Nothobranchius furzeri: one gene and its partners. The protein of the gene in region 4 interacts with the protein of the main gene of each other region in a pairwise test. Links are inferred from orthologs where the notes say so. Each region holds a gene or a part of one and is shown on either strand. Other genes may lie near its edges. The genes, in order: paraneoplastic antigen Ma1-like, capn3a, necab2, ntaq1, gnmt, ncoa5 and apip.

Region 1 (2,839 bases), on a different chromosome or scaffold from region 4:
GGTGAGTACAATTAGATGTGTTTTTGTAATTGAAATGTCTTTTTTACACTACAGTTACAAGGTCACAACACACAGATTAATCAAAAGATAAGGCAGAGAAGGAAACAAAGGGGTGTGCAAGTGTATGTGTGCAGATGTACATGTGTAGCCTGGTCTCAAATATCTATTCTAGACCCTACAGGTTAAAAGGATATAAATATTGTGTAAAGCCTTTATTGTAAATATTTCATATATTTGAAAAAACAAGGAGTTCAAATGGTTAAAAATGTGTTTAAAATCACAATAAATAGAAGTCAATCATAATTTGAGTGTTCATGGAGTTATAAGTAACAATGAAACTAAAGGTTTATCTAATGTGAAACAAGGAAAACTTTGTATTGTTTCAAGTTGTTTTACAAGTTCATTTTGGGTTGTCAATCTTGTATTTTCTTTTATCCCATTGGTTGATGTAAACCTACTGTCCAATCAGACGTAAGGGAGGCGGGAGCTAAGTGAGGCAAAAGAAAGAAAAAACAGCGAAGCTAGTGAGAGTCGGCAGCAGCACGTTGCGGGAGGAGGTTGTGTACCAGAGCTAATGGAAGAATAGTGAAATAATAGCCGTGGATGCAGAGTCTACGTTCCTGTTATGGACTGTTTTACCCTGTGATGAGTGAGTACTGAATGTGGAGTTAGCATTGAGCTTAAACGGAATGTATAAGTACTTAAAATGTATGGTGCTAATCGCGAGTTAGCATGTTAGCATTTTAGAGCCTGTAATAGCTATGTATGTCGAGTACGTAAGATACAGCTTATTCTGTGGAACTAAATAGTAATCTCTAATGCACAGTGGACCGAGAGGAATTCTCTGGACTCTTCTGCTGTGGATAGGAGTTCTGTGTGGTTGTTCCAGTGTACTCAGCAGCCCGGGTATGCCGCTAATTCCGACCACCTTGCCGAGTGGAGGCCGCATGGTCACCAACCAAGACTGCCCCTCCGTTTGCCTTGCACTTAGCCCAAAGGATTCATGAGTAGACCTGAGCACGTGTGTTTTGTTTTCTGCTGGTTATCAAGTGAAGCGGCCATTTGTTTGTTTTCTGGCCCAACGAGCCCAAGCAACGATCAGGCCTGCAACGGTTTCAGTGAATGAGCTCACAAAGGTTAAAACTGGTTAGTCATTGTTTCTCCTGTTTACCAATAAGATTAGTTAATGTACCCAGGGCCCCGCTCATAGTACTATCACCATCTTAACCGAGGGTTAATCCAGAGCTACTTGAGTTGGGTGCTACACATTTGGAGGCACCGCTGGGATTGTTGTTGTTTTATCTACATTTTAAGTTACCACTAAATCTGCTGTAACCTTAAAGTAACTAAGAGTAACACTGGTCCTAAAAAGCAACTTCAATTAATCTTTTTTTTCCCCCTACAAAGTAACTTGTTAAACTATGGCCACTAAAAGTGATGTCTCACAACCGAATCTTGCAAATTGGTGCAGAGGTGAAGGGCTCGATCAGGCACATGCCATTCTAGTTGTCGGAGTGCCTGAAGAGGAGGACCTATCCACAGTAGAAGAAACACTCGAACAAGTAAAAACCTTGGGCAAGGTAAGAGTAAGAGGAAAAATGTTTGATGCCAATAATCAAACCCTGACCATGTTATGTGAATGCTGTGAAGCAGTCGATCCTACCAAAGTTCCGCCAGAGTTGATTTCCTTTAAGGATGGAAGTAAATGGACAATAGTTGTTGCAGAGCAAGAAACGAACTCCGACCTATTCACAGAGAAGTTGGACAGATTTCTGCGTGATGAAGGGAAAACAATGGAGGATGTTCAAAGACTATGTGATCCTAGAACTCCATGGAACAGCAGCCCTGAGTCAATCATTCGGGTGGTAGGTGATGTGTTGCAGTCCAAGCCAAATGAAAGCAATTTATACCGTCGTTTTAGAATCTTCTCAGGAGTCTACCCTACTCCACCTGGTGAAGACAACTTGGATAGCTGGCTAGAACAAGTAAAGTTCATGACTGATGAGTATGAGTGCTCAGATAAGGAGAAACGCCGAAGAATTATTGAGAGTCTCAAAGGGCCAGCGCTGGAGATCATTCAAGCAGTGCGCATGTCTAATCCCCTGGCAAACCATGTGGACTGCATACAGGCATTGGAAAGTACCTTTGGTACCGCAGAATCCGGTGAGGAACTGTATCTCACATTCAGAGCTATGCATCAAAGACAAGGGGAGTGCTTGTCTAACTTCTTGCTGAGACTGGAAAGATTACTGAACAAAGTCGTGCAAAAAGGAGGCCTACAAGTAGATGAAGCCAACCGAGCAAGGCTTGAGCAACTCATTAAAGGTGCTACTGAATAAGACTTCATGCTGCTTCATCTAGGTCTTAGAGGTAAGCGAAGTGATCCCCCGACATTTTTAAGTCTACTGAAAGAAATTCGAGAAGAAGAGGAGCGTGAAGCTGCAAGACAAAAACTGAAAAAACCAGCACAGAGACAGCACGTGCATGCAGTGCAAGTAGCAAGTGAAACAGACTCCAGAGATTGTCAGCAACATGAGTTTCAGTCCGAAATTCAAGTGCTAAAAGAAAAGCTGAAAGAGCTCAGTAAGCAGTCTCATTCTACAGAGTCAAGCCACAAAAAGATGTCCAGAGAAAAGAAAAAAGAGAAATCAGACACAAGCAGCGAAGTGCAACAGTTAAGAAAAGAAGTCAAAGAGCTGAAAACACAGTTAAGTGTCATGTCGGTAACGCCACAACATTATGCAAAAGAGAGAGGGCACTATTCTAAGTTCAAAGCGGACTTCAGTCCAAAGTCATCTACCTTTAAGCCAAAGAGTAGTAAAGAGTCAGATAATTTCTG
Region 2 (4,291 bases), on a different chromosome or scaffold from region 4:
ACGAACAGCACAAGATGAAAAGACATGAGCTATTATATATGACATCAAGAAAGTGGAGACAGGAAGTGGTTGAATTCTGGTAAAATATATCTGCACAATCTACCAGAAATAAAATCTGAATAACAATACACATCCTCACCCTCAAGTCCCAGCAGTTAAGAGACAGATAAATAGTTTTAAAACAGAAGTCGACCCTATTAGTGGGTCGTAAGAGACAGATCAGGTTCAAATCAAACGCCTACTTCTTTGTCCGTATGGATCAACTGTGACAAATCTAGGAAATATGAGTTAAGCTCGCAATGCACAGGTGCGGTGGAATTAATTCTCTGAAAGATCATAAAGTAAGATCTCGCTTTGTTTAAAGGTGGTTTATAATATCGCAACCAATACTGCACTTTGTTAAAGTTAGACTAGAACTTCCAATACACTAGGCGTTGAGCAACATAAGTTAGTGTCATCAGCATATTGTTGAACCGAGCACATAGTACAACATGTAAGCAAATTATTAATAACAATTTTAAAAAAGGCCCCAGAATTGATCCTTGCGGAACACCCCTGAGAAAACAAACTGATGGCGATTGTGGAAAAACTGAGTTAAACCATTTTATAGCAAAGTACAGAGGCCCTGGATAACCCAGGAAAAGAGAGTTTGTCCAGGCGAAAGTAGTAATCAACCAGTGCAAATGCTTTGGTAAGATCTAGAAAAATAGCACCCGTAGCCCGGCTGCTTTCAAAACCAGAGAATATTTGTGAGTTTCAACAAAGCAGCACACAGCAGTAGCTCAGGAGGTAGAGCGGGTTGTTCAGTCATCGGAAGGTTGCAGGTTCAACCCCAGCTCTGACCAGATAATTCTGCTGTTGTGTCCTTGGGCAAGACATTTAACCCGCTTAGCCTGCTGGTGGTGGTCGGAGGGACTGGTGGCGCCTGTGCTCGGCGGCCTTGCCTCTGTCAGTGCGCCCCAGAGCAACTGTAGCTACATCGTAGCTCGTCCCCACCAGCGTGTGAATGTGTGTGTGAATGGGTGAATGCCTGACTGTGTTGTGAAGCACCTTGGGGGGTTGTAGAACCCAAAGAAGGTGCTATACAAATACAGGCCATTTACCATTTACCAAAGCAGTAGTGGAAAAAAGCGTTCTGAATCCAGATTGTAAATGTCTCATTTTTACAGTTATTATTGGATACGTTATAAATAACTGAGAGGGGGTGAAGCTAGAACATCAAAAGCTATTTTGATCAATTTATTCCCATAGCCATCTGGACCAGGCACATTACAAGAGGAACGTGCATTTGTTGACTTTAAATATTTTGAGAAAGGAAAATCTTGAGCAGCGCCGAGCAGCAGGGGCCAGGACATCTTTATTTACACTGATCCTTAGCTGAACGCTTTTTACCTCCATGGGTTTTAGGAAACTATTTATGAAAATGATCAGGGACAACAGTAAGAGATGAGCACTTTGCACCTGGAAGTGGAAGAGTCCAGCGTAGTTCTCTGAGAAGCTCTGCTCCTGAGGAACAACTCGAAACAGAAGCTTCTCATTGAGCGTCAGGCAGGCGATAGCAGCCAGCAGCCAACAGTCACCTAAACGGGAAAGAATTCAACCATTTCAGTGCTTTCAGTCTGAAAATCTCCAACTGGTCCTCTTAATGTGGCTGTAAGGACTCAGATGTGTTCCTTGGTCCTTTTCTAATAACGAGGGAAATCTTGGGACTATTTAGTGGTGTAGAAGATAAAAGCTGCTGCTGACGCTGCATGTGTCCAGGTGTGTGACAGGCTGCTCTGAGCAATGTAAGTCTTTCAACAGAGTACGGTTAACAGTGTTGTCCAGGACCTTTGTCCTGTCAGTCCCTTTGAGCCAAACAACAAAGAGAAGTGCTGCTGGTTGGAATCCCGTCTAAAAGAGTTAGCACAATATCAGGAGGCCGAGTGCAGGGGACGGACGCCGGTGCCAACCTACTTTAGTTGGCCACCTCATCCCTCACTTCACCTCCCTTTATCACCTAAAACAATCCTACCTGATTGTCACAGTTAATGAAAAAAAATGGTTTTCTGTAGAAATCAATCTGAAGATCTGATGTCTGATTAAAACAAACTTACCCAGATCTCCCTGACAGATGTCCGTCCTACTGGCTCCTCCTACAATGAACTGAGGATTCTCACAGATTTCCTGTAGGAGACGTAAACAAGCATGAATCCAGACTGCTCATGAGGCTTTAAGGTAAACTTTAGTCAAAATATAGTCAACTAGAACGATTCCTGGCTTTCCCTTCCAATCATCCAGTGCAGGATGAACAAGTATTCCAGCTCCAGCTTCTTTTATCACAAATGCCGGTTTTGAAGCTGTGCATCAACACTAGTCATTCATTCTCTCTTTAGTTAACTCCGTGATCAACATATCCCTTCATTACCCCCCTACCTTGGGTCTCTTCCAGACGATGTTCTTGACCTTGTTGGACTTGTGTCCCAGCTCCTTGAAGCCCAGAGATTCCACGGTGGCTGGGAAGGAGTCATCCTCAAACAGACCCTTCCTCTGCAGGCACTCCTGCCTCAGCGCGTTGTAGTCCTGACCGTTAAAGCGGACGGGTTTGCTCACAGAACCTTCCCCGTCTCTCCTTTCTCGTTCCCGGATCAGCCGGTCACAGAAAAAGCCAGACGGTGTGTATGGCATCTTTTCTCGAGGATTTTTTGGGGGGGAAAGTCTGGCGTTGACCACCTGTGTGAAAGTCTTACAAGCCAAAAGACTCTGGCATAAATCCAAACAGCTAATATCTGATTGGTTCCTTCTTCAGGTGACATCCCCCTCCCCTTCGTCACAGAGTAAATGTCACACGCACGCAAACGCATGTACAGATGCATAAAAGCTCACAGATCACGGTGTGCGTTTAGAGCATTCCCATTGGCTGATGGAACAAAGGTGTGTCCCTGCCTGTGCTCTGGTGCCATCATTGTTGGGTGACACAAAGGCCAGCGGGCTACACCAGAGGGCGTGTAAAGAGAGGTCAGAGGAAGTCCTGCCTCAGCAGAAGGCATTCAAGCCCTTTAAACCTGTTCTCAATGGAGCTCAGCGTCGAGCAGTCTCAGCATAACGGGAGCAGGCTGACGCTACGGGAGGAGGAACGTTCCTTTTAACTACAAATCCGGGCAAGTGTAAGACAGGTGATCACTACCTGTCTGAGAATGGACTACCAGAGAAATGAAAGCTTTGAATGATTTTTATTGGAATAAAACACACTTCAGTTCTTTTTTCCATCATTAAAAAAACAACACCGGTTAAAAGCACCAACAAATAAATTCCCAGCAGTCCACGCAGAGAACTACCTTTCATGTCTCAGGTAGAAAAACAATGGAGGTTCAGTTGTTGTGGTCGAGGTAACACGATCTCACTCAAAATCACACATCAGATCCACAAAAGCAACAGCTTTTTATGTTTGCTAATGTTGCTTAGCTGGGGTGGCCATCTTGATTCTGACTGGTTCCAAACATTAATCAGCTGTAGACGACCATCTGGTTAAGAGCCTGTGTGAGTTTCATTAAAATCCATCCAGTTTAACAGAGGAATAAAAGTCTGGGTGAGTCCTCCCTCCACAGCCAGGTGAGACGCTACATCACCTGCTTTTCAACATCTGACCAAAACATCAAGAGCAGTGGTTCCCAAAGTTAGGGGTGGGACCCCATTTTAGGTCACCAAAATCAACTCAGGAGGTCTTGAGATGATGTCCAGAAATCGCTGAAGCTATATTTCTGGCATAATTGTTACAAGAACTCAACTAAAGTGTCATAAATTGATATAAGTGAACAAGAGCTAGAGTGGTTTTGCTTACTTCCTGAATTATTTAGCTTTTTAAGCATGTTTCTCTTGTCTAATCAGATGAATCTGGGGTCACATGTCTTCATAGCTATTTTGTGGGTCTGAAGCTGGAAAGTTTGGGAACCACTGATCTAAAGCTCCATCATTAACAACATCCTAGTTTTAACTGAGTGGGTCATCTGACTTTTTTTACATCTAAAATCTACTTTTTCTTGTTTTTTTTCTGTCTTTGTCATGTTCTGTGTCCTTTTGGTCCCCAGCCCCCTCCAGTTCGCCCTCCAGGTTCCCCCCTAGTCACTTCATACTTAGTTATCCCATCCCAGTAGTTTTAGTCTCCCCATTGATTCCCCCTCCTTTGGTTCCTGTCTCTTTAGTTCCCCAAGCTGAAGATTTAATGTTTGTTCTGGTGTCTAGTTTCAGGTTTGTTAATTCTCTGTATAGTTATATTATCCAGTCAGTTTCTCCCTTTAATACAATGTGTTCC
Region 3 (3,942 bases), on a different chromosome or scaffold from region 4:
TGTGAGTTCCTATAGATTTTCTGCAACAACTTAGTACAGAAATATGAATTTTTATTCACAAAAGTACTTGATCAAACCAGTTTGAACCAGTAACCCACCAGGTATGAAGTCCTAACCTGAGACACATCAAGCACTATTTCTTAATCTTGTTGTATTTCTTAAAGTAACACCATATCTTATTGTTTTATTTAGTTTTAAACTCAGTATTTTCAATCGTTAGTTTTTCATATTTCAAGCCTAAAGAGTTAAATTGAAGCATTGTGTGTCTGAAAACAGCCTCATCTAATAAATGTTAACACCTAAACACTGGATTATTTCACAAATCTGTAATTTCTTTAAACATTTATTAATAATTTAAATTAGCTTTAGTGTAATTGTTTTTCAAGGTGTCCCTCAGGGCTTACTTTTGGGGTTTCTTCTTTCTTGTTTGGGTCACTAAAATAATGTTGTTTCTCACCAGTGGAAACTACTTATTATTCTTGCCTCCAAGAAATAATTTAAGCAGAAAATTAAAAATAAAAACCTCTATGGAACCCATAGATTCCCGTTTTCAGGAGTTTAAGGAGGGAAACCTATAAAATAGTGAATGTTTGTGTCATAAACCTCCTTCCAGCTGACAGAAGAGTCATGCTGGGAAAACAGAAACCAGCTGGTGAATAACTGGTAACGGATCAGACTGAATCCCACACAGCTGGACCGGAGTTAGCTTACCACACCAAACCGAACCAACCACAGCTGCAGCTGAACAAGCTGGGAGTGAATCTGAATCATTTTAGGGAAAGCTCCCCCCTCCGAGGACCTTCAACGTTTTAGAATACTTTCATCATGGAGGTTGAGGATGAGTGACACACGAGCCACCGGCAGGACAAGACGTGCTGAGTGATCATGAGATGCATTTTAAAACAATATTAAAGAAGATATTTGTAGAATAAAACGAGAGGATGTGATCTTTAGTCACATATTTTGAATTTGGTCTGGTTGGATTAGTCAGATTACAGGAAATCTAAAAAAAAATGTGCTTTTCAAAGACATGATCTTCTGAATAAGATGAATGTTAACAGTAGTGACCAAAGTCAGAAGTTAATGGGCAAACAGATCGTGACGACCCAAAAACTTTTTTTTTTAGTTTAGTCAGCTAAATTATTGCACAGAAACTCATCAAGACATTTTTGTGACTAAACTCTTAAATAAAGGGCAACAGGAGCTGAAAGAGCCGCACTCCAATTGAAAAGCTGCTCTGCATCTGCACCCTGGGCCATGTTCAGCTTCTCAGAACAGAGCTGGAGCTGCTGGAGTCAGGGAAGCTTGGGAAGGAGGGAAAGAGTCTCACTGAGGAGGAGGAGGAGGTGATGGTGAAGAGTTACAACAGAAAGAGACAAAAAAAACACGACTAAAGAGAAAGACACAAAGAGGAGGCATGCCTTCACCTTAGGAATATGCTTCTGTTGGAAGAGAGGAGACGGAATAATAAATGGGTTCACGGTAGACTCAGAGAAGGAGAACAAGTCGGTCTAATGAGGGAAATGCTGCATTCAGGGACACACCAGGAAGCCCATTTGGTGTAAAGTAAGAATATTGGGGTCAGATATGCTGGAAAGGGGCCAGAAAATTCACGTTTGAAAGGTCAAAGTTATGCAGAAAGAAGAAAATGTCAGAAAAAGTTCAAAGGCTGGTGTCAGAGACTCAGCTGGAAACAGTTTTAGCTGCCAGGTAGTTAAAATTTGTGTTTTTATATTCTGGTTTTACTTGTTTTATTGGCTTTAGTTTGTTGTTCTTTAACTCTTATCCTTTTTACTTCTTATGATATGCACGACTATTTTAGCTTGTTTTTTATTTATTTGTCTTTATGTCCAGCGCTTTGGTCGGTTGTAGTGCCGTGTTAAGAGCGTTCTACAAATAAAGTGGTATGGTATGATAGAGAGGAAAAAAGAAAAAAAAACGTTTGAAAAATCTTAATTTATAACAAGTTGGGGGGGGGGGGGGGAGGTCTACACAACGTGTTTCTACGTTTCTTTTCTTTTTTTCTACTGAGATCAACTCGTTTTAAAGCACAGTAAAATAAAACTGGGCTGACCTGAACACCAGAAATGCTACAGGCACGCAGTTATCACTCTGAAGGTTAACACAGGAACATGTCTGCAGCGCAGTTGGAGAGCCTCAGGATTTATGTGGACTGACAGTTAAAACGTGCAAAGTTTGAATTTTCTGATATGGTGCAGATGCAGAGGAGAGGGACGCCGGTTTGATCCCGGACACCTAAACTGTCTGTGCGTAAGTGCGCACCGCTCCCTGGATGTCTCCATGCACCCACCCGCTCCTGGCGGGGCTGGCCGCCTCCCGGTGCCTCATACTCACATCCAGAATCACCGAGATGCCTCTCCGCGGCTCGGGGGCGAAGAACTGCTCCTGGGCCACGGCCACCTCCTCCTTGCTGGAGGCGTACTCCCGGCTGGAGACGTTCTTGTTGTCGCTCATTTTGGTGACGATCCAGCGGACGAGCCCGTCGATTCCACCGGGCTGGGCGCCGCTGTTTCCGGACTGCGCTGCCGTCGCGGACTCGCTGTCCTGACCGGCTACGGGGTTCGGCTGCTCTCGGCTCTCCTGGGCTCGAAGTTTGGCTTGTTCTTTGTTCAGCAGTTTGTGGACTCCGTCCCTACAGTAGCGCGCTGCCTGCTCACACATCCTTTTGCTGCGGAGCGCTCATGCTGCGCTCTATGGGGGAGAGAGAGGCGCTCCCACCCCCACCTCCTCTTACATCACAGCATCCACCCCAGAAGCACCCGCATCCATCCTGTACCCAGTAGCATCTGAATTATGACTTAAACACTTCTGTTTGGTGCATCTAAGGATGAAGCCTTTGGACGTGCATCGCTCCTCTGGGAAAAAGCAACACAAAAGCTGTTTCTTCCCCCTTTAAGGTTTAGTGTGTAATCTGAACAAAGATGCTCTTCCTTTAGACCGCAGGAAGTGCTGCATCCCAAAGGGAGGATCAGAGGGCTTTAGCAAAAGGAGTCCCCTGAACTGTCACTCCAGCTGCTCATTAGAGCTTTATGTGCATGTGTGATGTGACAGATCTAACCTTTAGTAATGAGAGGCTCCCCAGCCCAGCCCTTTCCGGCTGCTGGAGAGACTTTTCTTCAGTCCGCCACATGTCCAACAGCACCAAGCAGCTGGTTTGGACAAATTAAGACATGCTGGGAAGTTGACAAAATAACTGAAAGGCTGTGAAGTGAGTAAAAAGACAAATAGATCTATATATCTCAGCGGCCCCATGACAGCAGGAAACTAAAACCCAGTCACTTGACATGATTGCCCCCATGTGGAACTGAGCGTGCAGTGGCAAGAGGAGTTTTCTTGCTACTGAACAAATGAATTAAACCACATTAATCACCTACATTTTTTAAATTTTAACCTTTATTTAAATGGATGAGTGGATTGAAAACTCATTCTCCTTTACAACGACGATCTGGCCAAGAGGAAGCAGCAGCAGTTAGCTTTACACCACAGACAAAACAGGTGAGATAAAATTCTGATAAAACAGTTAGGATTGTTCTCATATATAATGTGTAAAATCAGTCGAAACAGATTTAAAACTGTCTTTAAGTACTCAGAAGCACATTGATCAGAAACTATTGATCCCCATGAATTATTGAAGGTAGATAATGGATCGTGTGAACTTCAGTGATTTTTTTGCAGCGCATTCCAGTCGTTGGAAGCAGCAAACTGGAATGAGGAGCGGCCAGAGGAGGTGCGAGCTTTGGGAATAACTTTAGAGATGAAGCTACTGGAACGTAAATTGCGCTGGTTGTTGGAAGTGGAGTAATGAGCAGGGGTGGACTGGGACCAAAATTCGGCCCTGGCATTCTTACGAATTGCCGGCCCTCCCCATTGGGAGAGCGGTGGGGGTTAGGGGTGTGGCTGCCTGCGGACTCGTCTCTAAGC
Region 4 (3,551 bases):
TCTTTGTCATTGTGCCAGTTCTAATAAAGCTTTTTGATCACTTCTTTCCTTCAGACACCATAAGAAAGCAGTGAGGGGTGTGGCCTATCACAGAGGTTACCCTCTGTTTGCCTCGGCGTCTGATGATGGATCGGTGATCGTCTGTCACGGGACTGTTTACAAGTAAGACCACAAACACACCCTGAAAATCTATTCATAACAAGACTTATAAAAGACAGGATATTAAAACTTGCCGCCGTCTCTTCCAGCGACCTGCTTCAGAACCCGCTGATAGTACCTGTAAAAGTTCTCAGAGGTCATGTGATCACCCACGATCTTGGTGTTCTGGACGTGATCTTTCACCCCACTCAGCCGTGGGTCTTTTCCTCAGGAGCTGACGCCACCATCCGGCTCTTCACCTAAAGTGTTTTAACCAGCAGCAGCTCTGTGTGTGTGTGGGAGGAGTCTGACCTCCCTAATGGACTGATTACCAGGATACCTTCTTCTTTTTTTTTTGTTTTGTTTTCTGTAGTTTATTTTATTGTTTTCAATAAAATGTATTTTATTGTTTTCAATAAAATATATTGTTCTTACAATTTGTCTCTGTATGTTAAAACTAGGAGAATTATTGATTCTTTTTTTAAAACCTACAAAATGTAGTTTTATTTGTCTGCCTTCATTTTAAAGGAGTTTGTGTTGCGGTTACCTTTTTGAAAAACAAGACCATTTATTACAGCTTTCAAAAAGGAAATAAAATTATCTAAAATTATCAACATAATTACAGCTCTAAAGGTTTTTTTTTTTTGTTTGTTTGTTTTGTTGCCAGAGGCAGAAATTAGGACTATCCCAAATATAAAGTATTTGTGCTTCAAATTTCATCATTATGGATATTTTTAACTTGAACCAAGTTTTTGGGTATTTTGTACAAAGCTTGTTTCTAATAGTAAAAGTATTTGTAATAACCATGTAAATGCACGACTGCGCAGGCCTGGGAATATTTGTTGTATCTGTTGTTTAACCAGGTTAAAGGCCTCTCTTAAGAATAAAATCTCTAAGAATATCAGCTTTCTTTATGTATCAGTTGTGCTGAACACAAGCGGGAACTATGTTTAACGAAAATATTCGGGTACCAGGGTCTGCAAAATGTTCTTAGAATATTTACTACAAACAATTTTCTTTATAATGAAGTTGGTGTGACAAGAGTTTTCAACCATGGGGACACATTTCGAAGTGACACCGTCGGAGCGGTTTCGGTGTAACACCGAACCGCGAGTTCTGTTACTGGTAAATCCATTCTGTTACATCATGAAAAAAACTTCAGTTTGTTGGGTTTTACATAATTATTCGTCAAATTTTGTAGCAAAAAACAAACAATTTTCTTTATAATGAAGTTGATGTGACAAGAGTTTTCAACCATGGGGACACATTTCGAAGTGACACCGTCGGAGCGGTTTCGGTGTAACACCGAACCATGAAGGCAGTAAAGGATCGAATCACACCGAGTCGTGAGTTCTGTGTTTACACCAGCTGTTACTGGTAAATCCATTCTGTTACATCATGATTAAAAAAAACTCCAGTTTGTTGGGTTTTACATAATTATTCATCAAATTTTGTAGCAAAACGCAGTTGGCTTAAATGGTAGCTGCTACATTCTTATGGATATGATTTTATTATTATTAGATTATTTTTGCTGTTTGATTAGTGATGTCTTAATTTGCTTTGCAGTGAGGAGAATGTGTGGAAGTTGTGTGAGTTTGTTCAAACAGCGAGGACTGCTCCACTGGAACAGCTCTTTGTGGTTTTCATCTCTAATGACAACAGAATGGTGAGAAGATCAGCTCTGAGAAGTTTGTCATGTGTTACAAAACCCTTTAAACATATTTAACTCAACAGATTTAGTCTCAACAGGTCTAAAGTTTAACAAATCATCACGAATCCCCTTAAATTTGCCAAGTTTGTATAAAGAATCAACATTTTCACTAAGATCTGACTTCTGCTGCTGCTGCTGATCAGTGATGTTATTTGTTCTCCTTCAGGTTCCTCTGTGGAAGCAGAAGTCTGGACACGCTGACCATCCAGTGATCTGGGTCTATGATTCTCCTTCCTGTTAAAGTGGCCTCAGAGCATTAAAATAATACATTGTTAATCATGTTTTTTTGGGTGTTTTAGGACTACCATGTGATCCTGCTTCATGTGGATCCTCAGTCGGAGGTTCTGGTTTATGATCTGGACACAGAGCTGTCATTCCCATGCAATCTGAGGCTTTATGGCAGCCAGGCCCTCCGCTCAGACCACCACATCAAACCTGAATATCACAGGTAGCACTGCTGAATTACACAGGTAATGCACTGGAGTGAAATCACCAACACCTTCTCATATCTGTGACAGGAAGTTGCGTGTGATTCCTGCTGAGAGCTTCCTCTTGAACTTTGCGTCTGATCGAACTCACATGAAGAACCCTGATGGGAGCTGGAAGAAGCCCCCTCCCTCTTACCCCCCTTTAAAGACCACTGGTAACAAATCAAGTTAATGTGGAGCATGTTTTCTGATTCCTGTCTTAGGAAAAGGTGATTTTGTACTTTTGGTGCATTTCCTCTTCAGGGTGTCAGATGAACCTGGATGACTTCATCAGCATGAGCCCAGCTGTTGGCTGGGGGACAGTTTTCAGTCTGAATCAGTTTCTACAGAAATACTTAGGTTGCTCCTCCACCACCTCTTCATCTTCATCATCAGCTCAATCCTGATCAGCATCCTGGCAGCTGCTGTTTTGTGATTAGCTTTTATGTTATTATGAACATTTAATCTGAAATGATTGAGAGACTGAGACAAACATTGAACTGAACTTTATGTTTTGGGCTGAGCTGCATCTCGTTTGACCTCTCTTGAGTTTCACCTTGGCCTCTGAAGCTCAGAGGAAACCAGAAACATGACGACGACAGCGCTTCAGCCATGTCACAGATTCATCTGGAAACTGAAGTGATCCTTCATCACACACGCCTGTGAGAACTTTGAGCATCAGCACCTTGATTTCACCTGAGTTCCTGAGAAATAAAAAGATTTTATTTAATCTTTGATCGCGTTGGATTCTCTGTCTCTGTAGCGCAATGATAGAATAAAAATTAAATGTATAATTGTAACTTTTGGTGTCAATTTGAATCTTGGTTTCCAGAATATTTTAACAATTAAAACTTGGTGAAATTATGCAGATTCTAGTTAACAGCAGATTTGTGTTTGGGTATAAGTTCTATTTACCGTTATAGATGACTGGTGGAACTTGTGCAATCACTTTCACCTGTCATATGTTTGTGTTCAGTATGGCAGGAGTGGTTAGGACACTGGTTTAAACAGGAGGATCAGGCATGTTTGGTTTCAAATTCTTTTCTGGAAGAAGCTCAGGACAGCAACATCCAGATAAAGTAAGCAACCTGTTTTATTTTATCAATCAAACAATCTTTAAGATTATTTTCTTTTGAGTTCTTTGTCCCTTTGAGAAATGCACATCTCTTTAGAACAAACATGAGCGACAACAACAACTCTGACCAGGACGGGGGTCGGCAACCAGCGGCTCTGGA
Region 5 (4,284 bases), on a different chromosome or scaffold from region 4:
GGGAAATTTTGAGCCAGATTCTCTAAATTCACACACATCCAAATCTGACGTAGTTATGTGATCTGACGTGAAATCAGAAAATGGTTTTTCAGTCCGTGGTTCGTGGGCCACAGAGAGGCTTGTGTGGGAACCAGAATCCTTCTCTTCGTGGAAAACCGATGGTTCCACGTCTCTGAGTAGACTAGTTGCTATTTCGGGTCCAGTAGCGATAAATTCAGACTCAGGTTTCCACAAAGTGGATGAACCGTCTTCTATTTCTCCATAAAAATATTCAACATCAATTCTGTTTGCTTTCAGAGAGAGAGAATTCATCCCTTCATCATCTATAACCGATGGTTCGACGTTTAAGCAAAGAGAAGTTGGTTTTTTGAGTCCAGGGCTATTAAAATCAGACTCTGGTTGTTCTACAGAGGATAAATCCTCTTTTTCTGAGTCTCCATAAAAATATTCATAAGCACTTCGAACCGCTTTAGTAATTAGAGCACCTGCTACGAACCCAGTAACAGCAAACATGGCTGTACGGGTCGTTAAGAGGTTACCGTGTCCACGCATCCTTCCAGCAAAGCTCAGCTTGACTGACTGACAAAGGTGGTGCTAGCGCGCTATTTATAGCTGCGTCACAAAGGGACGTCAGCTTGATGACGTCACAAAGGGACGTCAGCACGCAGACGTGCGTCTTCAGCATTTATGAGCTCTTGGAATCACGTGTTAACCTCAGATTTTTTCATGTTTTTTTTTACCTTAAGCAACCCCAATGACTGGTGGTTACATGTACACATTATTATGTAGATTATTACAATAAACAAAATTAATTTCACATTTTTATTAGATCTCATAACTTCCTCGTGAGCATAAAGTGGGTGTAAAACATTAAAAGCGGGTTATTTAGATTAGTAAACTAGAATCGAAGTGTTTTCAGTGTGCGTTTGTTTAACATAAGCCCGATAAAGCAGGTATGAAAAAATTAAAACCATAATTATTAACAAGTGACTTTGTCAGATATGTTTTTACGTGTAGTTATTTCTCTATAACCTCAAACACGGTCACGTTCAGCTCTCGTGACGCACGTCTCTTCCGGTTATCTTCAAAATAACTGTAGCTTATTGTGAATACAACATTTTATCATATTATTGTGATTTTAAACAAGATTAGAAACAGAAACTGAGATTAATAAAGTTTTCACCTGACAACAATCCTGTAAGGCTAAACCACGGAAACGTTCCTGTTAGACGTTAGCCACGCTGCTGACGTAAACCGGCAGGGGGAGGGCGTGGTTGCTTGGGTTCATCCAATCAGAGAGTAGGCGTGTTTCCGCCGCGGCGCGTGATTGGCTTACAGTCTGCTGGCAGCGCCGTTTGTATAAAACAACAACAGGAATCCGGGTTAGCATGTGGAGCGCCAGCCAGTTAGCAAGTCTGTAGGAACCAGAACGCCTCAACCCGAGTAAACGAACAGGTACCAACCCGACCGGAACCAGCGGCAGTATGTCGGTAGACAGCGTGTTTCGCACCCGGTCTCTCGGTGTGGCTGCCGAGGGTCTTCCGGACCAGTACGCCGACGGGAAAGCAGCCAAAGTGTGGGAGCTGTACATCGGAGACACCCAGAGCCGAACCCAGGAGTACAAGAGCTGGCTGGTGTCTCTGCTCCGCCAGCACGGGGTTCGGAGGGTTCTGGACGTCGCTTGCGGAACCGGGTAATGTTCCTCCAGATTCGCACTCGATCATCCACCCACAGAATAATCTGATTTAATGCTTAGTCAGGTACAGGTATGAAGTCTGACATGCACTGGCAGGTTGATTACAGGTGTGGCCGTGGTTCCGGGTATGAATAATCCTGCGGAACCCTTTATTAAAAATCACAAGTCATCGTGTAGTAATCGTGTTTTTACTGAAGTCTGAGAAGGAAACTCCTGAAGGATTTCCTTAAAAGTCTCCTAAAGATGCATCGATTCTGCTTTTGAGAGTAGATATCAACCAAAAACCCATTTCTGTACAGCTCAGATTGGCCGATACCGACTTTTCTCTAAATATGTTTGAGATGAACTTAAAAATTTAGTTTCTATGATTAAAAACTTAAACATGAAAATCTTTTACTGCTAGCATAAATTAGCACTTAGCAATAATCGGGTCATGAACCGGGAATAGGTCGGAATTTCTTTGCTGCTCGCAGAGATGCATTCAGGGACAAAATAAATCAGACTTTTGAGTTTCAGGCTGCTCACACAATGAGGATTCTCGGTGGTCCAAAGTGTGGTGCGTGGGCCGTGTGTGATTCCAGACTGTTGCTGCAGAACAAATAGATGTTTTGTTACAGGTTTGACTTTTGTGGAGTTTGAACTCGCTGACCCTCCTGACGCTGGACTCAATCCGGATTAGTGCTGAGAATAATGAGTGAAAGTTGCAGCTGTGGGTCCTGGTCCGCTCAGGTCCAGAAACCAGACTGACTGTCTTCTGGAGCAGGTGTTGGGCAGTTTGCAGGAGTTGTGGCTGGTTCTGTGCAGCCTGTTCGTTGCTTCTGATAGTTTATCAGTGTGGGTCAATGTCAAGGCCACAGACTCGGGATTAGTTTTTTCCTGACAGAAATGGACCTACAGCTGAAACCAGAACCACTCCAGTCATTTTCTTATTAAAATCCTTCTAGTAAACATCCTGCAGCTTATCTCATGTCACACGCTCAGAGGAAGTGAACCAGCAACCCGTCCTCAAGCACAATCCATAGTGGAGTTTCTGTCTGATCAGCAGGACGGAGCCGTGTAAACACGAGTGTGTTTGCCATTTTTATCAGTCTGAATAACTGGCGCTCCAGCTGTTAGAACCCAAACAGAACCGCTGCAGCTTTTCTGTTAAATTTCAGCTTTGATTCCGTTTGGATTTCTTCTCTGAATGGTTACAGATTACAAACGGAGAACTCTGGTTTAGTTTAGTCCTGCTTTGGGCCCGGGGTTGTTAATCATTGGACTGAGCTCTTCCTGGTCCCGGTTCTGATGAAACATGTTCCTGTTCTCCGTTTGGCCTTGGTTCAGGTTCCTCTTCCAGGTTTTTTTAGAACAACTGGTCTCTGGTTATTGGTTGTCTATTTTTACCTGGTAGACATTCCCTCCTAAAACACCGGTACCAAATCCGTTCTGAAAAGCTTCCCACGAAGACGGACACGGGTTTGGATCGAGGAGATCTGCAGGATCGCCTGTAGGAAGATGATAAATATCAAGACAGTTTATTCATCTGATTTTATAAATAATAAAAAGAAAACGCTACTCAGCAGTTATTTTAACCTGGAAGTCTGCTTTTACTTTGAAAGCCACATCAGTCATTTTATCCTGACTTGTTTTGCAGACAAGTCATTGCGTGTGTGTTAAAAGAGCTTGTGTTTGTTTTGCAGGGTCGACTCCATCATGTTGGTGGAGGAGGGCTTTAACATGGTCAGCGTGGACGCCAGCGATAAAATGCTCAAATACGCTCTGAAGGCCAGATGGGACAGAAGGAAAGAGGCAGCATTCGATCAGTGGGGTAAGAAAAACCTCCTTTAGAAAACATCTAAACCTCATCGGACCTCATGTTCTCCTCCCTTCTCCATCAACAGTAATCGAAGAGGCCAACTGGCTGACGTTGCCTGAAGATGTTCAGAAACCAGGAGATGGGTTTGATGCCGTCATCTGCCTCGGAAACTCGTTTGCTCACCTACCGGACTTCAAAGGTAGACGAACAAAGGAAATCTAACAGTAGAACGTTTCAGGTTACCAGACTGAGGGACTCCAAACATCTGGAGGTCTCCTCCATAAACCAGAGCTCAGATCCTTTTTTCTATCGAGACACGTCTTCTATAGATGACCACAACCCAACTTAACATCGTGTTTAAGAAGAAAGCAGCGCCTCTTTGGCGAGCTAATTGCATTCAGATGAACCTGGACTGGTGTGAGATTGTGAAACAAGTTTATTTAAATGTCGTTGAAGGTTCATGAAGAGGACAAGTTAACATTTTATTAAACTAGATCCAGTTCAGAAATTACGATACGGCGACCTCTACACTGGAGTTGTTATTAAACTTTATTAAAAGTAATAAAGTTTTCATTAAACCCAAACCAGATCTGGTCTGGTACCTGAAGTCTGAAGTGAAAGTCAGATCTTCCCGTGTGGCTTCTGGACTTTCCAGAGCTAGCTTGTGTCAGCATTAGTAACGCTAAGCAGAAGCTCGCTGGCGTACTACCAAAAGCTTTTCCTGATGCTGGCGTCTTCCATGCCCGGATAATCCGGCGTACGTCCTTCACCGCGCTCCTCAGCACGTCCT
Region 6 (4,042 bases), on a different chromosome or scaffold from region 4:
GAAATAGATAAAGTTCCTCACACTGAAATAATAATTTATATCTCTGAGCGACACGTTGCCACACTCCTACAGCACTGCTGGAGAGAATTAAATTATGCAAATTTGTGAACTTCACTAAAATATTGATGTTTGTATGTTTTCATTTATTTTATATTATAAATGCACTGTATAATTCTTCCTGTCATCGTTTGCAACATATTGGTTGCAGTGTAGTCTCTAAATAAAGTAAAAATTTTCCAGTGCAGAGTGGAGACAACCCATAGAAGCACTGATTTGATCTCATTTCAGAGAAAAATAGAACAGGTTAGATGCACCTAATAAATAAAATTACTAACAAACTCGGGAATCTTTCTTTGCTTCACTGTTCTGGTGCTGAGAATATCACTCATGCGGATCAAAGGAGATCCACAGACGAATGCACCTCTTATTTATTATTTGGAGACTACATTTACTGCAGCTGGCAGAGGCAGATATTTTTTCTATTGATACACGGAATTTACAGAATCATTTTAAATTTTAATAGGGGAAGACTGCAGGAGGGAGCGGTAAAATACAGGGGGTCCCCAGCAAAAACAATAAACTTTACGAGTCTGATAAAACCTGCTGGTTTTCCATCAGGCAGTCACGGGGCAGCTCCAACGACCCAGTGGCTGTGCTGGGTCAATGTTATCGAGCTCAGTCCGGCTCGGCTGTGAACGAGCCGAGGCGACGTCGTGCTCTGCTTAAGAAGAAGTGTTATTTTCCCGCTTCAGAAGAAGCGTCCAACGTGTTTTTACGCTTTCTCAGAGACATGTCACGTCGCTAAGTTGTTAGCGCCGTGCGCTAACACGTCAATAGTGCAGCGTAGCCTGCTGGAGGTTGTAAGGGTTCAGATGAAAACACCCGACCTCTCACGCTGCTCACACATCGATCTTAAGTTGTCGCTGTTGAGCTCACGCCGTAATACAGTATTAGATGCGGTTAAAGTCAGACATGAAAAAATAAATAAATTTTACATGAATAAGTGATGCTTAACCTGGTGGGGGGAGGAGAACCTGGCATAATAAGCACTGGAGGAAACCCTGTCAAGATCGTCAACACTTGTTTATCTTAATGCTACTGAAACATGTAAACCAAAAAGCATTATATCCACTGCTACCTTTCTAATTTTAAACTCAGTAACTTATGCTGTAACTTCACCTAGCCCTGCCTGCTCCTTGCTGCCCACCGGCTGTGATCACAAGCGACGACATAGTAGTTCCCGCTGCTTCTTTGGGAAACAGTGCAAAAAAAAAAAAAACTTGGGATCTTGTAGGCGTGGCGGTGGGATTTCAGCCGTGGCGGGCCGCCACGGGCTACGCCTATGTAAGGGAAACCCTGGGTTGAGTATTTGGGTCTCCCTTAAATGAGTTAAACCTCAGCCTAAACTCTTTGGATCATAAACTACATGCAAGTGCATTAGCCTTTTTATACTAGGAATCAGGATTTGTTTTTGTGATCATCTTGTTTCTTTCTTTTTCTTGTTTATTTTTGTCCTGATTGTGCCCTGTGCAATTTTATGACAGAATAAAAACCAACATTAATTTAAACATTGTCTTAAATAATCGAGATCTCAATTTCAATCAAAATAATCGTGATCATAATTTTTGCCATAATCGAGCAGCCCTAGAACACCATACCTCACAAGTTTATTAAGTTAGTGAAAATGTATTCAGCCGATGAAAATTTTTTACTCGTTTGTTGGACTCACTTCAATTGAAACGCAAAGAATAGACATTTGTTTAAAAGATCCTCTTCTCTTGAAACGGCAGAGTCCACTCCAGCGCAGGCGAGTTTGTCAAAATGAAGCGAGAAGTTTAAGATCAACAAGATCACAAATTCTTGTTGCTCAAACTCAGGAAATATTTTATTCCGAAGGTATGTAAAACGCAATTAGAAATGCTTTTAAAATAAATTGTTGGATATTTTCAGTCAAAACATCCATACAGCACAACTAAAAGAATATTCCAAAAAATAACATTAAGTTAATTATTTATGTATGTATTTATAGGGTACAGACCCTAACCATACCTTAACTTGAAGGCAGATGATCTGTATTCAGTGCCCGATGGTTTAATGGTCCAAATGCCTATCAGCAGAAAGAGAAAGAAAAGGGGGGAACAAAACTTAAATGTGGGCAAGAAGAGAAAACTAACGTTAACTTTGCTTATTTCTGGATATTTCTATAAACTCTGTAAATTATATCAATCTGTGTATGAACTCGAGTTCTAAATTTAATTAATCTACATCTTATAAAATTACGACACAGAAGTAATTCAAACAATTTTCATCAACCCACTGAAACCAGGAGATAGGGCCGGTTAATGGCCTCCGTTCATGTCCGTGGTAGTGTGTGTAGCAAATGGCGTTTCACGTGCGCCATGAACAGAGATAAGACAAATAACTACATTTACATTTTAATCGATACCACGGAACAACATAACAACATCCCATTTGCTGCTTCTTGCAGATTCATCCACGTTTGTGTTTATATTTACGAAAATGCGCCTTAACCTCGTGTAGCCTAGCATTAGCCTGCTAGCTAGTTACTTACACGGATACAAGGAGGTTAAAACCAAACAACTTTAATATTAAAATTGCTGTACCAGCTATATGAATCGCTAAGACCATTATTTACTTTATAATCGACTGTACAGCTCTCCACTTACCTTCGACGAGCAAATAATTTATATTTCGATTTGCTGTATTGACGCCAAAATGGCTAGCCGTCTTCCCCGACTACGCCGTCTATTCTGTGTATTGCGCATGCGCGAGTGTGCCGCGCTTGTAATCTCCAACGAACTACAAATAACAGGCTTGCTGATTTGGGTAGCTTTTTCTGTAGATTCCTTCAAAATTAAATATACCGCTTAGAAAATTCCAATTTTTAACGGCATAGTTAGTCTAAGGGGCAGAACGTCATAACTTATACAAACTACTCAACAACTAAAACTTAATAAATCTATGTATTTATCTGTGTTTAACAAAGCAGCTTTATTTATATAACGCATTTCAGCCACAGAGGCAATTGCTTAGCGAGGATAGCAAGAACATTAAAATAAACGTGTCAGAAAATGCAATTTAAAAGATTAAAGGGTAAGCAAATATAATGCAGAATGTTCAGCATAAGAACAGTCATTCAAAAGCTGATGAAAACATGAAGGTTTTCAATTTTGATTAGTTACTAGAGTTGTGGCACATTTGAGCTCACGAGGAAGCTGATTACATCTGTGTGTATAGTAGCAAGAAACAAGTTCACCCTGTTTTGTTCTGTCCTGAGGCTCTACCAGCTGACTACTTCATAATGTCAGAGCTGGTATACCTGATGGAGATCCAACATGCATTCTGGTCCCATTCCACAGAGTAATTTATAAAATACTTTGAAATCAATTGGTGGCGTTAACCCCCATTCCAACCCTTATTGCTGAGTGTCAAGCAAGAAAGCATCAAGTCTTTTACTCGGCCGGGATTTAAACCCCAATCTCCCAATCCCAAGGCACTCATACCACTAGACCACTGAGCTGAAACATCCTTGCATCTTGGTGACCAGCAATATCAATTTTACAATACCAATCACCCAACAGAGTGAAGGCGTACCACTGCACCTTTGCAGAGATACACTTTGAGGAACTGGTTAGAAGCCACTCACCCAATACCATGACAATGGCTGTGCTCTGGTGCAACTTAAAATAAAAAGGTTCATCTACATGAACTTTGACTTTAACAGTTTATATTTAACTTTTACTATGGATGATATACTTCTTGGGCATGTTCGTATCAGTAGAGCTGCTATCTTTCGTCGGTTGGACTTCTGCTCCTCGGTAAGGACCCAGAGGATCAGCAGTAATATCAACTCTTTTAAAACATCTTGTCTTGCTGTTTTTGTAATAATGTGTGCAATTTATGTTTTGGGAATGTAAAATTTGCTCATGTGCACTCATGTGCCAGCTAATTTAATGTATGCTTCTTCTTCTTCTTCTTCAACTTACTTGTGTTTTTATTTTCTTCTTTTGGAATTTTGAGA
Region 7 (4,068 bases), on a different chromosome or scaffold from region 4:
AGCGAATGCATGAGACCATATCTCATGCAGACTAGTCCTGTGCAGAGGAGGGAAAAAAAACAGTCAATTCATTCCGTTCCACAGAATACAGGCAAAGCCAACCTGAACAACCTGTTCAAGACTGTCTCATTTGTTCTCAGTGTGCCAGGCTCAAATGCTTTTGTTGAAAGGATCTTCTCTGTTATGACTAATAAATGGTCAGACTCCAGAAACAGATGCAGCGAACTGATCAAAAATGAGCTTCTAATAACTGTAAACTGTGACCTGTCATGCAAGGACTTTTCTCTGGCTGTGCAAAATGACAAAAAAATGCTTGAGTCAGTCAGGAGCAAAAAAAAAAATATCCATGGAAAAACTAGGTGTTGAGTCATGACATCAATTGCCTCATATCATTTGGAATCAGTTTAACTCCTATAAAGCTGTAATGATTTCGGTTCAGGTTTATTAGTTCAGTTTCTTTAAGGATACACTACAATACTACTGCTTAAATGTTGAAATGTATACATGATTTGAACAGTTTCATCAGTATCATGCGTGTTTCCGTGCAAGCTGCATATTTAGATAAAGCTCTGAGTTCTGTTGAGAGAATCTTCTCTGTTATAACTAAAAATGTTCGGACTCCAGAAACAGATGCAGCACTGAACTGATCAAAAATCAACTTCTAATTACTGTGAATTGTGACCTGTCCTGCAAGGACTTTTCTCTGAGTGAGGAAGTGAAATGTTAGTCAGGAGCAACAAAAAATATCCATGGAAATAATACACTTTGTGTCATGAAATCTGTTGCCTGATATGATTTGGAATATATTCGTTATATATGTTTGCTATAAATGTTCAAGCTGTGATTGTGTTCAGGTTTATGAAGTTCAATTTCTGTAAGGATTCACAACAATACTACTGCCTAATGTTGAAATGTATACATAATTTCGAACCTTTTACTGTTTTACTTTTACTGTTTCCCCAGTATGATATTCATGCATGTTTCCATTCAAGCTGCATATTTACATAAAACTCTTGAGATTATCCTTCTAAGATTGTGTTCTGTTTTTGTATTGGAGTTTTTCCAAATACCAAAAAATGTCCCTTATTTAATTGCTGTGAAAAAGTTGGCAGCCCTAACTCTCATGTTCCAGTCAAACTTTGCTAAATGAGATGATCCATGCTGAAGTCCCTCAGGAACCGTTTCTGGTCCACATAGATTCACCTTTTGTAATGGTTTCATCTTCACAGAATGAAACAAGAGAATATTCATTAGATTTTATCGTCTTTGGCGACCGACACGCCCACCTCGACCAGGCACGTTTTTGTTGACGCACGTTGATGACTTAAAATCAGCCGCGACGTTGGCTGTTTATGTTGTTTTGTTCAACAGTGATTTAATACCTTAATTTCAGTAAGTTTCCGTGTTCTGTTATTGGTTATCTTTGCCACGTGGACCGCGGTTTGGATTCTGCTGTTGTCAGTCCATGTAGAAATTGGGTTTGTGACACGAACTGAACAGTTGCATGTTAGCGTTAGCCGTTAGCACAAAGCTTACGTCGCCTTTAATAAAATGTACCATAAACATTTTCCATGCTAGCAAACTCACACAGTCTACATCTTAAATGTTCAAATGTGTCCAAGCATGAGTTTGGGCAATAAAGGCGTATTTGGAGCTAAATATATGTGAAATGTGCATCATAAATAGCCATTTGTTTATTCTCCCTGTGTAAAACTAGCGTCATGTTTACGTAGAAGCACTGTCAGTAAACTGCGCGCACATACCTCGTCTTTGTTTCTGTAGGGCTATACCAGAGATAACGGCTCTATATTGATCGGTTTATGAATAATCTAGGATCTAGTGAATATGGTAACTATTAGTTACGATCCTTATTTGTGAAGGTGTGTGTGAATGGGTGAATGAGACTGTAGTGTAAAGCGCTTTGGAGTCCCCTGGCTCTGAAAGGCGCTATACAAGTGTGGGTCATTTATCATCCTCATCATCATCTATTTCCCAAGTTGTTGCAGCAGGTATAATGAGGAAAGCTGGTGTGACTTGTGAAACTGAGTTCTATTTAATTTTCTAGTTTATTGAATTTCACACAGTTGCATGTATTCTAAGGCTAATTTATTTACATCTGGATGTTCATTCTAGGAACTGAAATTGAAGGAATAGGTATAGAACTAATCTGCTGTATCCTGTCTGGGAGAAAATACCATGTTTATTTAATTTTTAATTTTAATTAAACATTAAAATCACTGGACACAACTAGTGGTGAAACTGAGCAACATGATAACATATACAATGTAAAAAGATTAATTGATCATATATTCAGGAGCTAAACATTTGCATATTGGATTTGTGGCATTTGACTGCTCATCCAAAAGTGTCTGTTCTGACAAGTAGCGTTTTTCCACCGTTATGCTCAAAGTCTTTTCTGTGGAAACTGGCATCGTATGCAAAGTAGATCTTTGTGAAAACTTCCTCTGCAATGCAGGCTCACCATGCCAGGAGCTTGTTAGCCAAGTTTATGGTCATATTCTTCTCTGACTGGATAAAAAGCCAGTCAATATTAAAAATGTGGAACACACTATTTATTATTTCTGATTATAATCAGACACACTGCATTTTTCATGCAGGCTGAACATGAAAATAGTTTCCTACACCCATGTCTTCCATTAGCTTCTAGAAACTCTAGGATTTGAAAATTGTGACAGATCTGGATCACACTGTCACTTACCATTCATAAAGTCACCCAACTTGAGTTTCAAAGGGGAAGGCTGTTGTTGGCTTAGCGTCCAAGAAACAGAATGTCCTGACTAGTAAATGCTAACCTTTAGCATTAGCAACTCCATTATCCAGCAGAACACCTTCAGCCTTAAAGGTATAGCAATCAATTTTTCCTGGTTGAATCACGTCAACCATTGGTCCGCAAAAATGTCAATTTCTTTTGAAGCCAATCCTAGGTTAGTTTTCACGTCCTGCGCATGCGTACTCTGTGCACCCCCTCACTCTCATGGAAATCAGGAAGAGGCTAACGCGGTCCAGTCTGCTCCCCACAGACGCCGCTGTTGCCGGTTTTTCTGCTCGAGAGGCAAGCTAACGTTCTGCATGCTATTTTTAGAGCCTCTTATTACACATTACAGCCGGCAGCTACTTATAAACAGGTGCTGGGAGAGTGTTGTGCAATGTGGAGAGGGCGGTTCTTTCCTAAAATTCAGAAACATCGATTGCTATACCTTTAAGTTATTTGTTACGATAAAACATCAATGATGCAGAGCAAATAGTCAGTGGTAGTTGCGTTGCTATTAGTCATTCAGAGACATGATTCCAAATATCAGTAAATAAGACTCCAAATAATGCCTTGTTAAGCTCTCTGATGGTGTGGCCTTTAATTTCTTCCAGTTTTGACTTTTATTAAGCAACATTGACTGTACATTAATTAATCAAGATACACTTGTTTTAATGGTTGTGCAGGCCACCATTCAAATGGCTTTTAAATGGCACACCATTTACATGCTGCTTGGCACAGCTAAGTATGCCAGATTGTAAATGGTGCAGACCTACTGCTAGTCCCACTCAGGGAACCGTCCGTTTAAAATGTTCTCATTTTACATGTTTTGTTGACTAGCTTTAACTCTTATACACTTGACTGTTTCTCTTCATAGGGGGACATTTATGTAAGCCTCTTCATGTTTTTAAGAATAATAATATTTTTTGTTTCGTAATCGTATTAGTGGTTTTCTCTGTAATCACTTATGACACTTTTTCCAACAGCTCTACTCAGTGCAACACAAATCAAATTGGTCCAGCTGAGCAGCTTGTCCATCATTAATGGGCTGTGTTTGCCATTAGCGTTTCATGAACAATTTAAAACTGATTCACCCTCAGTTCCATCAGATGTTTTTGGATGTGTTTTAGCTCTTTGCTTCACCTCAAAACACATTACTTGTACATTTACTTCCAGCTTCTGCCATGATGCCCAAAAAAAAAAAATTCTTCTTCTTTTTATTGACTGTCGGTGAACTGAAAAATCTAACTGCTAGTCTTTATACGAGCTGTCGGCACATTAATCAGCTAACAGCGTTG

What was found.
Region 1: the proteins of ntaq1 (region 4) and paraneoplastic antigen Ma1-like interact in binary tests that used the Homo sapiens proteins (3 or more experiments, as listed by UniProt). The two-hybrid records come from large-scale screens. The link is inferred for Nothobranchius furzeri from reciprocal best matches to the Homo sapiens genes NTAQ1 and PNMA1.
Region 2: the proteins of ntaq1 (region 4) and capn3a interact in binary tests that used the Homo sapiens proteins (3 or more experiments, as listed by UniProt). The two-hybrid records come from large-scale screens. The link is inferred for Nothobranchius furzeri from reciprocal best matches to the Homo sapiens genes NTAQ1 and CAPN3.
Region 3: the proteins of ntaq1 (region 4) and necab2 interact in binary tests that used the Homo sapiens proteins (3 or more experiments, as listed by UniProt). The two-hybrid records come from large-scale screens. The link is inferred for Nothobranchius furzeri from reciprocal best matches to the Homo sapiens genes NTAQ1 and NECAB2.
Region 5: the proteins of ntaq1 (region 4) and gnmt interact in binary tests that used the Homo sapiens proteins (3 or more experiments, as listed by UniProt). The two-hybrid records come from large-scale screens. The link is inferred for Nothobranchius furzeri from reciprocal best matches to the Homo sapiens genes NTAQ1 and GNMT.
Region 6: the proteins of ntaq1 (region 4) and ncoa5 interact in a two-hybrid assay, tested with the Homo sapiens proteins (3 studies listed by BioGRID and IntAct). The two-hybrid records come from large-scale screens. The link is inferred for Nothobranchius furzeri from reciprocal best matches to the Homo sapiens genes NTAQ1 and NCOA5.
Region 7: the proteins of ntaq1 (region 4) and apip interact in binary tests that used the Homo sapiens proteins (3 or more experiments, as listed by UniProt). The two-hybrid records come from large-scale screens. The link is inferred for Nothobranchius furzeri from reciprocal best matches to the Homo sapiens genes NTAQ1 and APIP.

What each region holds. Positions count from the first base shown.
Region 1 is NC_091745.1:26,674,385-26,677,223, reverse strand, and holds paraneoplastic antigen Ma1-like, read left to right. Parts: upstream 1-1,421; coding exon 1,422-2,339; downstream 2,340-2,839.
Region 2 is NC_091758.1:17,065,434-17,069,724, reverse strand, and holds the start of capn3a (calpain-3), read right to left. Parts: upstream 2,801-4,291; 5' UTR 2,668-2,800; coding exon 2,416-2,667; intron 2,167-2,415; coding exon 2,097-2,166; intron 1,581-2,096; coding exon 1,462-1,580; intron 1-1,461. UniProt on the Homo sapiens protein: Calcium-regulated non-lysosomal thiol-protease. Proteolytically cleaves CTBP1 at 'His-409'. Mediates, with UTP25, the proteasome-independent degradation of p53/TP53.
Region 3 is NC_091744.1:83,491,762-83,495,703, forward strand, and holds the start of necab2 (N-terminal EF-hand calcium-binding protein 2), read right to left. Parts: upstream 2,801-3,942; 5' UTR 2,683-2,800; coding exon 2,356-2,682; intron 1-2,355. UniProt on the Homo sapiens protein: May act as a signaling scaffold protein that senses intracellular calcium.
Region 4 is NC_091759.1:9,346,619-9,350,169, forward strand, and holds ntaq1 (protein N-terminal glutamine amidohydrolase), read left to right. Parts: upstream 1-1,356; 5' UTR 1,357-1,450; coding exon 1,451-1,515; intron 1,516-1,704; coding exon 1,705-1,804; intron 1,805-2,015; coding exon 2,016-2,066; intron 2,067-2,148; coding exon 2,149-2,297; intron 2,298-2,367; coding exon 2,368-2,492; intron 2,493-2,580; coding exon 2,581-2,723; 3' UTR 2,724-3,051; downstream 3,052-3,551. Other genes in the region: ribosome biogenesis protein bop1, read left to right, coding at 55-162, 249-402. UniProt on the Homo sapiens protein: Mediates the side-chain deamidation of N-terminal glutamine residues to glutamate, an important step in N-end rule pathway of protein degradation.
Region 5 is NC_091758.1:37,143,877-37,148,160, reverse strand, and holds the start of gnmt (glycine N-methyltransferase), read left to right. Parts: upstream 1-1,484; coding exon 1,485-1,693; intron 1,694-3,378; coding exon 3,379-3,506; intron 3,507-3,579; coding exon 3,580-3,693; intron 3,694-4,284. UniProt on the Homo sapiens protein: Catalyzes the methylation of glycine by using S-adenosylmethionine (AdoMet) to form N-methylglycine (sarcosine) with the concomitant production of S-adenosylhomocysteine (AdoHcy), a reaction regulated by the binding of 5-methyltetrahydrofolate.
Region 6 is NC_091743.1:58,541,034-58,545,075, forward strand, and holds the start of ncoa5 (nuclear receptor coactivator 5), read right to left. Parts: upstream 2,801-4,042; 5' UTR 2,688-2,800; intron 2,108-2,687; 5' UTR 2,050-2,107; intron 1-2,049. UniProt on the Homo sapiens protein: Nuclear receptor coregulator that can have both coactivator and corepressor functions.
Region 7 is NC_091749.1:48,967,922-48,971,989, reverse strand, and holds the start of apip (methylthioribulose-1-phosphate dehydratase), read left to right. Parts: upstream 1-1,268; 5' UTR 1,269-1,392; intron 1,393-1,915; exon of another isoform or gene 1,916-2,009; intron 2,010-2,025; exon of another isoform or gene 2,026-4,068. UniProt on the Homo sapiens protein: Catalyzes the dehydration of methylthioribulose-1-phosphate (MTRu-1-P) into 2,3-diketo-5-methylthiopentyl-1-phosphate (DK-MTP-1-P).